2 linked regions of the Bombyx mori genome follow. The main gene of each other region encodes a partner of the protein of the gene in region 2 in a complex. Links are inferred from orthologs where the notes say so. Each region holds a gene or a part of one and is shown on either strand. Other genes may lie near its edges.

What was found.
Region 1: ribosome biogenesis regulatory protein homolog (region 2) and ribosome production factor 2 homolog share a complex: the UniProt entries of both Homo sapiens proteins name them as parts of the hexameric 5S RNP precursor complex. The link is inferred for Bombyx mori from reciprocal best matches to the Homo sapiens genes RRS1 and RPF2.

What each region holds. Positions count from the first base shown.
Region 1 is NC_085129.1:7,278,532-7,282,836, reverse strand, and holds the start of ribosome production factor 2 homolog, read right to left. Parts: upstream 3,091-4,305; 5' UTR 2,587-3,090; coding exon 2,564-2,586; intron 2,482-2,563; coding exon 2,266-2,481; intron 1,156-2,265; coding exon 882-1,155; intron 562-881; coding exon 420-561; intron 285-419; coding exon 1-284. UniProt on the Homo sapiens protein: Involved in ribosomal large subunit assembly. May regulate the localization of the 5S RNP/5S ribonucleoprotein particle to the nucleolus.
Region 2 is NC_085123.1:3,059,056-3,063,376, reverse strand, and holds ribosome biogenesis regulatory protein homolog, read right to left. Parts: upstream 3,063-4,321; 5' UTR 2,659-3,062; coding exon 2,510-2,658; intron 2,386-2,509; coding exon 2,113-2,385; intron 1,882-2,112; coding exon 1,662-1,881; intron 1,279-1,661; coding exon 1,016-1,278; intron 891-1,015; coding exon 737-890; 3' UTR 684-736; downstream 1-683. Other genes in the region: DNA excision repair protein ERCC-6, read left to right, coding at 4,198-4,321. UniProt on the Homo sapiens protein: Involved in ribosomal large subunit assembly. May regulate the localization of the 5S RNP/5S ribonucleoprotein particle to the nucleolus.

The sequences.
Region 1 (4,305 bases), on a different chromosome or scaffold from region 2:
TTCTACATGTTGTTTTTGTTTTGCTGCTTTCTTATCTTTCTTTTTCTGAAGAAGTATTTTTTTCTTTTCTTCGGTTGTTTTCTTTAAGCCCTTCATCTTTCGGGTTTGCAGCCTATTGATATCTTGCTTACCCATATGAATACGGCCGTGTTTAGTTCCAAATGCATCTCTGGAGATATTTTTCTTTTTGATTGGTTTCATCTCTCTCGGTATTTTACAAGCTTCCTTGTAGAGATCGTCAGACGCTAACTTAGTTCTTCTTAATTTGAAATCAATTGACGGACCTGCAGTTGCCAAAAAATTTTTTATTCAGTTTGCTGATAAGAAAATGATTCCGTCAACAATCATACAAAATATGCAAAATGACAAGCTTGTGAATATTTATTCACTTGAACTGTGATTTCAACAACGATTGTTACCTATTTCTTCCAACTCCACTCTGGGTGTTCTCTGGCCACTTTTCTTAAGTGATATTCTGTACGATCTGAAGTAGATCAAGCCATCATCAGTAGCCGTGAAACTGAGGACATGTTCTAATCCCTGCAATCTAATGGTTTCCACCTATGAAAATATAAATACCATTTATTTTTACATTAATTGTCAATTTTTATTACTATAGAAATAAAATATAGTAATTTAATGATAGGTGGGAAATTAATTTGGTATTACTAATTAATTATATGAAGTACCAACAAAGCACTTATAGTTATTAAATTGTATTATAATTGCTTAATTATTATAATTTTTAAAGATATGCTGTACTGGTATAACATTTTAACAACATAACATTTGAATTCAATTACTGATACTGTAATAAATCCTTCCTTTATTTGACATTCATGAAAAAATGATTTTATTAATTTTCCAATATTATTTTTTACCTTTTCTCTGTGAAAGAAATCAGAGAACAGTGACTTCAATCGTGTTAAATCCTGGTTTAGCTCCCAAGCAGGTCCATTAAACAATAAACATGGTTTAGAACCAGCCAGGACTTTTATATTGTGAAATTCTGACATTGCCTTGTATTCTTCAGTACCAAGTTCAATCATATCCAATATTCCATAATCAAAAGTTCTACCCAAAACAATGTTGTGGGGGCGCTTCTTGCTGTGTGAACCAACACCAAACAGAGCCGCCTCTTTTTTGTAACATAACCTATAAAGCAGACAATCGAAAGTATAAGACTACTTTTACTATGTTTTTATAATATTTAGTTCACTTTTCACGAGTCGTAGACATTATTACAACTACTTTTATGATTTAATCTCATATTTTTTATTGTGAATATATTATATCTGGTGTTTTGAATATGTTACAGTTTGTACAAAAATATAATGAAAATCAGAATAATGAGAATATAACATGTACGTAGTTTTGATTGTCATTACAGTGTAGCATTTCCAAACTTTTCAGAATCAGACTTAATGAATATCGCCATTTAAATCCAAATAACAATGACTGAAAACTTTCTTTTACATTAATTAAAGAGCAATTATTTCAATATTATATATAGGGATCATATGAACAAATTTTAAGAAAATAATTTTAACAAATATATGTTTAAATCACTAAGTAAACTCTTTAAATTGGAACTTTTTAATCCAATTTTTAAAACAATTTTTTATTACTGTCGTGGCGTGCAATCTCATTGACAAGACATAAAACCTATAATGACTAGACATAGACAGACTAAGACAGACATTTGAAAATAATTCAAAAATAAATGGAACGAGGGCGTACGTGACCAGCAGCGAGGCAGTACATTTTTTGACTTCTGAAAAGACAGACATACAAAAAGACGAAACAGAACGAATAGTAATTGACCGTTCTTATATAAGATGTTCAAGTGACCTTCGACCGTTCAAGTAGTCATTCGACCGTTCAATTACTGATGCTTGAATGAAAATGTTTGGTTTAAAATCAATCTATATTACATTTTATATGTGGCTATTCATAGAAATAAGAGCTCTAAAAATAAACAACTTGGAGATTCATAAATAATTTACTAAGGAAATTTTATGTCGATAAAATTTAAAATGACAATGTAGCAAAGTGCATCGAAATTATTATAAATGCTATTAAATAACGAAATAACTGCCATAACCTATATAACTAGTATAAAGCAACGATGTAGGTATGCTCTGAAGAGTTCAAAAACTTAGTTAAAATTTTAATACTGATCCTACCTAGCAAGATACGAGAACAGGGAGCTAAGCTACTTTAGTTTAATATACATTCACTTGTATAAAATGCAAAATAACTTACTTCTCAATCAAACTACTGTCTTCAAATGGGACAAAATCGTTTTTGCGGCTGAGATAAGCGGCGTCAGGCTTTTTTAAATCATAGATATCCTTTAGTAGCTTTCTTGTCCTTTCTGACGGGTTGCGGCCTTGAAGGAAGATACTTTGTTTAGGACCTTCAATGGGCTTAGGTTCTTTCGATAGTAGAACCTTTTTTCCTTTACGAGTTGTAGGTTTCCTAAAAAAAATTTACTACTGTAAAATGATGCAAGTTATTGTGAAGAATAAGTAATGTTCATGCTAGTGTTGAAGAAAAGTACTTTATTCTTTGTAGCACAGGCATTTTGTTTACATGAAATCTCAAAAACACAACGAGATGCACACTTTTCTTAGTTGTCAACTCAAACACGTGAAAATTGTGATCACAGATAATAAATGATTGAAGTGTGAATTTATTACTATATAGGTCTATGAAATTTATGAAGTGTATCACGGTGTATCATCTATGCTTAAGAACGAAATTAGAGATGCCGATTAAGTTCAATTTACCCATGGAGTTAATAAGAATTTACCACAAAAGATCGATTATTTCATCGAAAAAGATCTCTGAATCGACATCAAATAGTAGAAAATCGAATTTGATTTTTAGAGTGCAATTAAATACAACAAGAAAATAGAATGAAACCACAAATAATAGAAAAAAATAATTTTAAATATATACTTATTTGGATAAGTTTCGACAACTGTCTATATAATATTGATCATTGTGATAATTGTTAATATTGTGTGATTTGATTGACTCTGTGTTTTTTTTTATTGTGTGTTTGAGTTGACAACTAAGAAAAAGTGTGCATCTCGTTGTGTTTTTGAGATTTCATGTAGGAGTGGGTAATATCGGTTTAACCGCGTATCGAATCGTATCTATATATCGAGTATCAATATCGGATATTGAATCTATATATTTTCTGAATCTATATATTGATGGATGCTAGTAGATTTTCTCGATTCATGATATTTGAGATTTGAAACGATACGCTGATATAATATCGTAGTAGATATAGATTTAAGTCAACGTTATACGGTTGGTTTTCTGATATCAATTTATAATATGATTTTAAAGTAATAAAAAGAACATGAAAATAAAAATATCAAAAAAACTTTCCTTCATGCTTTTATCAGACTTAGGACTGGCTACATTTTTTTCAGTTTTTAGTATTTTGTATCTTAATTTAAAATTACAAAATATATCAAAAGAGTGTAGATTTCAAAAGTTTAATACAAACACAAGAAATAAACTCAGTTATTTGGATTCAACTAAAAATAGAAAAATGTGTACTTTAAAAATCAAACACAAAAAACTTTTAAGTATTTATAAACACTTGTCCAAAAATTGTAGTTCAAGGTCAAAGCGCGTGAAATTAAATTCAACGATGCAAATAGGCTATACTGCATTCAAGTTAGGGTCGAAAATTGAAACTTCTTTCCTAAATTGTATCCTGCTGATACGCTAAGAATAATCTACAGACATATGGACTTAAATATAAGGTTTACAATTGTATGGATAATGCCTGTTTCTGTTTCATTCATCACATGATATCCCTATCGTGCGCTCACTCACTCTGACCGATTCGATACGAACCAAACGAATATTGCTGATATTCACGAATCGGTACGATATGCCGATGCGCATCACATCGAGTAATATCGTGTATCGGCTGATATCGTTATATAGATTTCGATTCACGAATCGGTACGATATGCCGATGCGCATCACATCGAGCAATATCGTGTATCAGCCGATATCGATATATAGATTTCGTGCGGGGCGATATCGGATTCAACGATATTGCTGCGATATATAGATATTGAATCTAGATACGATTTATATCGCCCACTCCTAATTTCATGTAAACAAACTGCCTGTGCTACAAAGAATAAAGTACTTTTCTTCAACACTAGCATGAACATTACTTATTCTTCACAATAACTTGCATCATTTTACAGTAGTAAATTTTTTTTAGGAAACCTACAACTCGTAAAGGAAAAAAGGTTCTACTATCGA
Region 2 (4,321 bases):
TTCTTTTATTGCTAAGTTGGATGGATGGACTCACGGCCCACCCGGTGTTAAGTGGTCACCGGAGCTCATAGACATTACGCATGTAAATGCGGTCACCCACCTTGGACATGTATTCGAAGTCTCAATTTTTAAGTACAACGGCTACCCTACCTTCCAAACCAAGGTAGGATGGTGATACCTACCCGTGCGGGCTTACAAGACGGCCTCACACCAGTAATTACACAAACTGGTTTCATTTTTATTACACGATGATATTCCTTCATCGTGAAGCATTCATGAACATTTGTTAGGTTAGTACGTAACTATTTCATCAGAAAAATTTGTACATGCCTGCGGGACTCGAACACTGGCATAGTCGCATCACTCAGTGCAGAACAGTGCTTCGCAGAACCTACCGCCGGATCGGAAACGCGACCCGGAAACGACCCGCGACGCGAAAAGATCCGACGAGAAACTCTGTGACTTGTGTCTGTGGGTTAATTTACTCGCCTAGCCCTGCGCCGCAAGCGACAGTTTCGACGAGAATCACTCGATACGAGAGTATTGGAGACACCTTGTTCTTTTAGGCCACGACGACTTCACTCTTGTTACGTTCAAAACCAAACATATTTTTCGATTTAAAACAATGAACGCCTCATTTTTAAGGGTTTTATTAATAGTTAAGGAAAACAAAAAAACAAGTGTCAGTATTTTAGTTTTTATTAGTAATACATTCTGTAAGGCTTATATCATAGTTCTATCTCCTTTTCCGTCCAGTAGATTTCTTATTTGGTGCCCTTTTTCCCTTTCCTGCTTTAGGTTTCTTGGCTGAGAAATTTGTTGCATTGCCTTTACCTTGAGTTTTACGTTTTCCTAAGCCGGGTTTCATATTTTTCTTTTCGTGTGATCTCCTAATGATAATACAAACAATAGAAATCAGCTCATTTACTTCGAAGTAATAAAATAAAAACTTTAAAAAAAAAATTCTGATTATATCATTTTCAAATTTACAATAAAATAAAAATAATTTACTTACTTGACTTCCTCTTCATTTATACTTTTCGCTACAGCTTTATCCATATCAATTTTTGGCCTCTTACTCAGTATATTATCAAGTAGATTCAGGTTGTATTCTTTTTCTGCTGCCGGTGTTGGTATAGGTGCTTTACGTTTCCTCTCCTTGCCTGGGATTAGCTCATGTACACCTTTACCGCGTGCTTCTTTCTCTTTGGGTAATTTATCTTGGAATTTTCCAAGAGAAGCCGTTGATGCTTTTGCTACACTTGCTGCTGTGGATAACTGGAAAATTATGAAAAATAATTGTAGATTTATGCATTCATATATTTATAAAATCATTTAAATTATTATCTTTAAACAATAATGTAATGGATAAGCAAAACAAGATGAATGTAATAGTTTAGCAATAAAATTGCAACAGTTAAAAAGTTGTAGTATATCTAATTCTAACTTAATTACAAACAGCAAATGCTGCTTGGCTGTAAGAAAGATCAGGTATGCTACTTTGAGATCATCTAGAATAGAAAAAGGAAAATTGTCCTTTCATTGAATTAGACATGTATTTATTAAAGTATACTATTATCATTGTATAAGATGTCTAATTTGAAACTGAAAAAGGAAAAATTATAATTCAGTACAATATATATTTTTCTACTTGATCCTACCTGTGTGGCAGAAGCTTTATCTGAAGTGACAGGAAGCCCCACCCTTGGTATTTTAACCTTTTTGGCTCTAGCGAGATTCTTAAGTCTCTGTAATTCATTCTTTGCAACCTTTTCTGATTTTTCACCGGCTTTCTTTTCATACATATCTGTCATAGGATCTAAATTCTGTGGGACTTCTATAAGCCAGTTCTTCTCTTTTTCAGCTGCAGTTTTCTTGAAACTGATGATACAGAATTATATAGTCAATTATAGATATAGTTGATTGCCGACAATAATAAACGGACAATGTGTTTTACAACATCCTGGCTATTGGTTTGACTATAAAATACAGATTTTAAAATGATGATATCAATTTTTAATTTCTGCCTAAAAACTTTTGTAAATAAGGTTTTTATGGTTTGTGTTTATAGTTTTCTAGACAACTTTCATTATTCTACTATTGAAAACTCACCCATATAAAGGAACCCATTTCTGCAGCTGTTCATCCCATTGAAGTTTGTCTTTCTTTTTCTTATTAATACCCTTGGCTTTTGCGAACTCTTGCCATTTAGTTAATGGCTTAGGTACAGGCACTGGCTTGGCTCGGGGTAGGATTGTCGTAGGTTGTGGCAATCGAACTACTATGGCCTCTTCGATTCTTTCAGTGGGAAGCTCCCATACTTTATTCAGTAGTAGCTGAGCATTGTCACGGGTCAATGCAAGTAAATATGAATCTTTGTTTGTCCTAAACAACACATAAAATCAATTTAATTTGATAACAAAACATGTGCTGTTAACTAAATTTATGTTTAATCCTGAAATTAATAGTGACTATGCGTTTGCTAAAATGAGATAAGATGAAGACTTACTTCAGCGTTTTTATGTCCAAATCGTTTGTGTCAGAGGCCAATAGTGAACCTAGGTCGAATTCTAATTCCAAATGTTTTTCGACCGTTATTGGTTTATATTTATCTGCTTTCTTTTGTTCCCTTTCTAATATCTCATTTACAATATCCATTGTTATCAGAACACTTCCTTTTTACACATTAGAATTAACAAGCTTATTTGACTTGAGCTAATATTTTCCTTGCTTTACTTTTGTTGAAAAATAACCTCAAAATGTATTTTTTTTTTACAATTTAATTACATATATTTATGATTTCGTAGTTTTCTGGGCAACCACGTTTTGAACTCTGGCATAGATAATAAATATTTAACACATGTCATCATATTGGTAGCTTATTGTAGTAGATAATCTATGCACGTAGAATAATTATTTTAGAATTTTTATGTACATACATATATATTGAAACGATGGAACTCAAGTTCATTTTTATTTTATAATCTATAAATATTTATGTATTCAGTTCTATTACCGCGCATCACTGTACTGTACAGTAACTAAAAGGTGTAGGGGCTTCGTTCCCTTTGTATCACCAGCGAGTTAATAAATGAAGATTATGGAGCATGTCCAAACAGGAACAGGTATAGTGATATAAAGTATAAACGAAATGTATTATGCATAGCCCTCTACCAAGGTTTAATGATAGATAAGACATAAACATAAACGTTACATAGTAACTTTTTAATAATCTGTAACTCTGCCTCAACACTCGCGTATGACGTCGCACTGTGAAGAAACACCATGATCTGCGCCAGAACTGTGTCCCTCCACACTCACAAAGCTTCACAGCTCAGCCTTGTTCGCGATTATGATCGACGACGACGTGATTTCTGCTGCTGCTGTGTATTCTACATACACTTCACTTTCTTTCTATACAATCTATAGCTCGACTTAAGTGATTCTTTATTTTTCTTTAACTCTGACTCAGTTACAGGTGTATTTAAGATAGCACTTATGCGTGTCCAGGCATCATGAACCTTATTCTCATTTTTGTGGTCTTGATGTTTCGGCTTAGGTTTATGGCAATAAATGAGAGTCAGTTCCAGATCATTATTCCACCATTTATATTAGGATCAATCACCAACGCACGCATAACCACTCTACGATGTCCTGTACGCTACTGCGGTAAGCTGCGAGTGTGGATACATTCACGTTCGCGTGCCGCAAACCCTTTGTCGCGGGCCATAAAACCGACACAGATCGGGGAGCGACGCGCGAACGAGAAGGCGTGAACAACATCTACACTCGTGAATTCGCAGTTGTCGCGTTCGCGCCGCGAGTGTAGAGCCGACTTGACGCAGAGTAGGAAGGAATACCGTACTATAGCCATATTAGCCATGGAGTTAATAAGTTCAACTCTAGCTCTATGATTGTAGCCATAGATTATACACTTAAATTGTAGCGTAACTAGCGTAGCATTATAAACTCTAAAAAAAGAAAAATATCGCTTAACTGACATTTTCAATTAAAATAAATGTTTTAATTATTCTAATGCTCGTAGGATTTGTTAACTTAAGATTAAGTAAGATTAACTTGTTAAATTAAAGATTAAACACTTAATATTTGAGTTTAGTTTATTATTGTGTACAAAAAGCAATAAATACATTACCTAAATAAACTGAATTTCAATGTCAAGAACTAAAACTAACCCAAATGGTGGACATAAACAAATATTTAGAAATGCAACTTGAATTAGCGAAAAAGCAAATTGAGAGGAAAAATAGTCAGAAAGAAGATGTATCAACTAAAAGCAAATCTGCTGCTGATTACATATCGC